2 linked regions of the Styela clava genome follow. The protein of the gene in region 1 purifies or fractionates together with the protein of each later gene. This does not show direct contact. Links are inferred from orthologs where the notes say so. Each region holds a gene or a part of one and is shown on either strand. Other genes may lie near its edges.

Region 1 (2,974 bases):
TATGGACACAAACAGCTCATTTTCATGATAAGTATTTTCATGTGTATGGAAATGAGTCACAAAATTTCGATGACATTATGTCTATTGTGTCTGCAGATTTATAGAGGTGATAGAAATATATACCATCCAGCACTTTGATCAAGAAATCCCATTCAGGTGTAATATTTTCTACCTAATTTTTTTTATTTGAATGCCATTTGAACAGATGATACAAGAGTTATTTGGATTAGGAAGAAATTAGTGTGATGATATTCAAAATTATTACTCATAGGAAAAAGTGATGATTTTCTGTGATTCTGTGAATTCCCATTTTCATAGAACACAATGATTCATATACCGTATCTAAATTTATCTAACAAAATTATTCACAAGACAGACTTAAATTCTAAACTATTCTGAGTCTTCATATTTAATCCTTCAGCTTTATAAAACTTTTTTTTTTATATATAGAAAATGGATACACACTAACACACAAACATAAATAATCTGAAAACTCACCAGCAGCCCCTGCTCCAATAACAGCTACATTCAAAACTTTCATTTTGATATCAAGAATCAATTACCCAGTAATATATAGAATATCATTTAGGAATACTCAATATAGATTCTAAAAAATGATGGCAGTTTTAAGATAATAAAAAATGTATGCAGTATCATAATTTCAAACAAAATTTGAATACACATAATTGTGACATTAATTTTGTCTGGCAACACACAATGTAGAAATAAGAGTATTGTTCTGTGTCATACAGCTCACCTAAACTTCTGAAACCAGCAGGTAAACGCTCATTTTTCAATTGTGGTTAGAAATTTTTTTGACCCCGATAATGACCTATTAAATAATGTTTAAAAACCAATTTAAAATCAAGACATTTACTAGACCATGGAATAGTATAATTATTTTAATAGATTTCAAGTCGTCCACCAGTAGATGACAGTTTGGAAGCCAGCCGCACTTCGTCAATATCCTAGTTCGATTTGAACATGCATAGTAGCTATAGCTTTACTCAAACAAACGTAGTAATCCATACGGTCTCGTAAAGTCCAAGTTACTCAATTATCAACTCTTCAATACCCCAGTCCTCATAACTACCATCCGGTAAATATCTTCGAACAATAATAGGAATCTTTTTTGCTTTTAGTTCTTTCATTGCGATTTGTAGAGGGTCAGTTTCTCCTTCTAATTCTACCATCACAGGAGCATTCATTGATATTTGTAGCGCCCTGGTTCCCAACACACGGGCACGTTCATATTTCGTCATATAAGGTGAAGTAATACGATTCGCAGGACTTATAGGGCCTGCTTCATGGGCATCTAGAATCCCAACACCTCCTTCTTCTTGATTATCATCATTAGCATCTTCCACATCCTCCATCCCTTCTCCTTCATCATCAAATCCTTCATCAAAACCATCATCCTCATGATCAGACATTTTCTCAGGATCCAAGTACAATAAACTATTTATAAATTACTGCTAGAAATCTGTAATGTAAAGTTTCTATTTCACTACTGACATCAATAACAAAAACATTGAAAACAATCAAAATTTTACAAGTTAACTAACTACTGGAAGATAAAGCATACCCAGAATAGATTTCATTTTCATTATTCAATCTGTATAACGAGAAGAAAGAGCTTATAACCAAATGTTAACTATTTTATAACAACTAACTTATAACAATTTCAATTGAAGATTCTGATATAAAATGCTTTTCTTGCTCTAATAAGTAATGCAAATCTTTATATATGCATTTTTTGGTCAAAATTTAAATATTCTTCTATTATGGGTATACTTAATCAACTAGGCATGGGTCATTAATAATATTAAGTCATGAAATTGTCAGGTGAAATGTTAGATGCTGCTCCAAACAATAAAGAACACTAACATGAATAAAAGCTCATATTGTCAAAACAAGGTACTATCGATCTTTTTAATAACTGCAGTGTAATGATAAAATTCATAACCCAATCAACATTGGCTATACTCGTACACGAGCACTTATAACTTTTAAGATTTGCAAAAATACAATAAGATGAACAGCCTTCATTCCCTGGGGTTCAGACGGAATTATGTTGACGCATTATTACTCAAAAATGAGCTCAGGAGCCATTAATAAGGGTAGTCTATCTGCTGTTGTAGATGGAGAAAATTTCAATGAAAAAATTGTTGAATTCCAAGACCCACGGGAGTGTAGTATCGGTCGTTATATTTGCTATTCTAATAATTGAAAAAACCCCAAGACAATCATTAAAAGATATTATAGTGGCATTACTGAGTATTCTAGCAGAGGGATTTGAAAGAAATAGAAGTTATATTCGCCAACATTCACCGATTACTTCTGTGAATTTAACATACATTATTAGGAGTGGTTTAATACAATGACTTGTTTTCCTTGTACTGACATTAATTGGAATGAACATCAATTATGTTAGAAAGTGGAATATATTTAAAAATTAAAGAACTTTTCAAATTACAGAACTATAGTAGTTAGTGAAGATCTCATATCGTGACTCAAATTAACATATAAAATCAGGAACAAAAACAGAATTCAGCAAGCATATAATGTCCTATTATGATACAATGATATTTGGTATTATGCCATTTTCAACACTTTCTCTAAGAATTGATAGCAATTTAAGAAATTCAATAAAAAATGAACTAATGTTGCAGTACAAAATTTCCCACAAGAAATTGGAATTCCTTTCAAAAATTTGACAATATACAAGAACATAATAGCGATCACATTTCTTAGGATGTAAATATGGTAATCGTTCCTTTATAGAAAACTGAACAAATTACAGTTGGGATAATTTTTTTTGGCTTTTTTTTCACTGTGTATAAGCAAATCCACAAAAGCAAGCTACGAAACTGAAGCAGCAAAACGATACATCAAATAATAATGTCAGGTACAGATGTAAAACTACCATTACTTTGTATTGGGCTTTCAAAAAACATCTACCAAACATCAAAAT
Region 2 (3,686 bases), on another chromosome or scaffold:
AGTGTAATTCAGAAAAGTGAGTAATCAATAAATTAAATTCCAGTACGGTATTCAGTATTCCAGTACCGGTATTCAGGCATTTGTAACCAAAAAATGGAACAATGAAAAATGGAATTCGTCAGTTCGCATACCGGTACGGTACCGTATCCCTCAGACAGTCCAGCAGGCAGCAGTCAGACAGTCCTGCAGTCATAGGCCTCATTCTGTCATTCCAGTTTCTTTGTCAGGCACATTGACTGCTGGAACATGTATATCTCAGTATATGGTCTTGGTTTTCTTCGGCATAAAAGAAATCTCAACTCACAGACTCAGCAACTCGAAGACTGAAACCTTGTGGTGAGCTCAGAAACTGGCTTACAACTAATATTACAGTTTGAGTTTACACTAACAGACTAAGTAGGTCAGCAGTTAGGTGAGTTGCAGTTGACGATATAGAAATTTTTAATACCTTTTGAATATGTGGACATTTTGTATTTGGAGAATTAATTATTATGTGTTACACAGGGTAACCCCAAGAAAACAACTTATTTCAAGAGTATTTTTTCCCAATCTGCTATTACTGTACTGTACAATAATTTTTAAGCCTTTAACATTACTCTTTAATATCCATTTGTCTCACAGTATTCACTCAGATCAATGCAAATTTCGTGCAAAATCTATTTCCAGAACTCCTGGCCATTGTTGTCAGAATGTTTATTGGGAGTTAGATAGCAATCTGAATACAGCATTGATTGCTTGCAACTCAATCTATGAAGAATGATTTCTCGACTTGAGTGAGGTTACCGAAATTGAACTGAATTCTTGTTTATTAATTTCAGATTTATAGTATTACTATTAAATAATATATTATATCAATAAAAGTGTAAAAAAATGGAAGTAATATCAGATAAAGTTCCAATGATGTTATCCAATTATGAAATGCATGGATTATTGACAACATATTCTGCAGAAATGAAAACAGGGAAACATAAAACTGGACAAAGAGATCAAAATTTATCAACTATCACATATGAAGTTCTTAAATATCTGGAGGGAACACCATGTATTAATCAAAATGAACAGTGCATTAAAGATGCATGCCTTGCATTGGCACCATATAATTTGTCAAAAGCAGAAAAACTTCAAATAATGAATTTACGACCTACGACCCCTGTTGAAATTTCGCTAATTGTGGAAGAAAATGAAGAAAGAATTTCTGAAGAACAAATAGACGAGATTCTAGAAATCGTAAAAAAACTTCCTCCCGGTCCCGGATCTGAGGACAAGGAGAATGAAGCAGAAGAAATGGAGGAGGAAGTGGGAAATGAATGATTCTCACGTTAATCAACAGCATTAGGTGGTTGATGGATCTTTCGTCATGAAATATGCTGATGTTAGACATTGACTGAATTGTAAAGGCTGAGGGTAAAGAAGGTAAAGCATTGTGGTTTCAAATGCATATTTGATTCACTTGCTTATTTGAATGAAGTTAATTTATAGTAGGTTTATGAAATTCTATCAATATGGATTGAGCAGAACTTGGAATTGGAGATAAAAAAACAAAACAAATTGAAACATTGGCTTGATGATTAATTGACTGCTTTGAAAAATTATTTGAGACAGCTTTACTTTTTCAGAGATTGTGCTTTTCTTGAAAATCACCATTTCAAAGAAAAAACTTTACTGTAAAGGCAGTTCTTTACAAAACTGAACTGGTTGGATGCATGAAAAGAAGAACACATGGAGATTTCAGATTGTTCTATTGTATAAACAAGGACATTTATATTTAACATCTTTTTAATAAATGAAATTACTTTTTATAGCAATGAAGTAATATTCTTTAATGTTGGACTCAAAGTGGACCAATGGATCGTTTCGTTATTATGTTTTTGTCAAAATTTTTCTTCCTATCATTATGAAAAAAAATATTTTTTCTCTTCAATCACTAGACAAATTGCTTTAAAATTTTCAGTGGTTAGAGATTGTATTTTTTCCAGAAGGCTATACCGTACTATTTGTTGTTATTTGTTTGATATTTTAACTAAAATGCGGTGTAATCTTTAATTAGGGGAACTCATTTTTATGCCATCGTGATGACTGTCTTCCACAATTGTATGACATTGTGACGGTACTGTAACAGATTGCATACTTGTACTACAGCGTTTTTAACTTTGTGTTCTTATATTTGAGCATCGCTCTCTTGTTGTTAATAGTTTTCGAAAATGCTTTAAGTTCTCAGAATACAAGTACCGATAAATAACAAATTCTACTATGCTTCATTTCACTAAGTTTATTTAATATTTCAAGTTACTTATTAAAGTCTGAACTGATACGTATTATAAATCATATATTAATAAAATTAATATAACAAACTTCCATGTATGTGTGGTGTGGTTGAAAAATAAAATAACAGGGAACAGAGAAAATGAAAAGTTTGTTACCATGATGGCATCATTTTGAACACATCATCTGTTGTATATTTCACATCAGATTGCTTTGGGTTAGCCTAGGTTTTGAAGTATTACCATATTAATATGTAATGTTTGGAGGAGGCCAGTTTATTATTATGTCACCATTGCATGTCTTCAGAACAAATCATTTTTTTGCTGACAAATAATTTTCGGTTTTTAATTACAGAACTGATTTGTATGGTGGTGTCATTTTGTTGTTGTTGCCAGCTTATTTTTTTTTCTTTGTCATTGTTTGGATTTTGAAATTTATTTCTGCATGATATTTTTTTGTTGATTTGTTTTATTTTGTTTTGATTTAGGTAGATACCATGATATACCTACTTTTCGGTGTGTATATATGGTATCCCAAAAATATGAATGATTGTGTGGTTTGTAAGTTGTAATTCTTGTTCTTTAAAGTTCATGATTGGAAGAAAAAAATGTTCCCGTTATTTTGGACTATTTTGCTGCATAATTATTGTATGAGCTAGCAATGAAGTTTTTTCAATTTTTGATTTTATTTCACTGTATTTGTATAGCAGTATGAAAGGCAATATCAACTATGATTTGTATGATGAATTAAAATCCTTTTAAGTAATAATCTTCTGAATTCAAATTATGAAGCATGATTGCTGATGTTTTTATTTTTATTTTAAAGCATGCTGTATATACTAGTTGGTGTGTTTTGTTTGAGCTTAGCTTTTTGTACTTTGGATGAATCAATGAATAATTGCAAAACACTTTGTGGACATGGATTTCAATAGCGGGTGAGTTTTTTTTGTTCAATTTATTACATTTGGATGAAATTGAAATTGCTATATGTTAATTTTGGCAAGTTTTACTAATTGGCTATGTGTCAACCTAGGAATATGTTGAAATTTTTTTTCTCTGTGGGGGGGGGGGGGAATGGCCCTCAAGGCCACCCTCCCCCAAAATAAAAATTTCGACATATGTATAATGCACGGTGAGACACAAATTCATACGCCTTTTCAAACACCATATTGCTATATTCTTAAATGATTCACGGAAAAACAAACGTTTCTTTGCTTACTATCAATTATTGTTTCACCATGATTTAACAAAATATTGTCATGTTACGCTATGATGCTTTGATCTTGTATAATTTGCATGTTTTTTGGTTTAATCATTGATATGCTTGAAGTATTGACTTCAAGCTCTTTTGCACGATTTTTCTGGTTGCTAGGACGTGATGCTTTATTCATAGTGTGTACGGGGTCTGCTGTTTCCTAATTGTTA

The links.
Region 2: the proteins of DNA-directed RNA polymerases I, II, and III subunit RPABC2-like (region 1) and DNA-directed RNA polymerase III subunit RPC9-like purify together in Homo sapiens (affinity purification with mass spectrometry; 5 studies listed by BioGRID and IntAct, with this or other methods). This does not show direct contact. The link is inferred for Styela clava from reciprocal best matches to the Homo sapiens genes POLR2F and CRCP.

What each region holds. Positions count from the first base shown.
Region 1 is NC_135263.1:9,244,790-9,247,763, reverse strand, and holds DNA-directed RNA polymerases I, II, and III subunit RPABC2-like, read right to left. Parts: upstream 1,445-2,974; 5' UTR 1,434-1,444; coding exon 1,050-1,433; 3' UTR 606-1,049; downstream 1-605. Other genes in the region: uncharacterized protein LOC120340860, read right to left, coding at 499-541. UniProt on the Homo sapiens protein: DNA-dependent RNA polymerase catalyzes the transcription of DNA into RNA using the four ribonucleoside triphosphates as substrates.
Region 2 is NC_135255.1:9,168,426-9,172,111, reverse strand, and holds DNA-directed RNA polymerase III subunit RPC9-like, read left to right. Parts: upstream 1-810; 5' UTR 811-870; coding exon 871-1,311; 3' UTR 1,312-1,413; intron 1,414-1,616; 3' UTR 1,617-3,087; downstream 3,088-3,686. UniProt on the Homo sapiens protein: DNA-dependent RNA polymerase catalyzes the transcription of DNA into RNA using the four ribonucleoside triphosphates as substrates.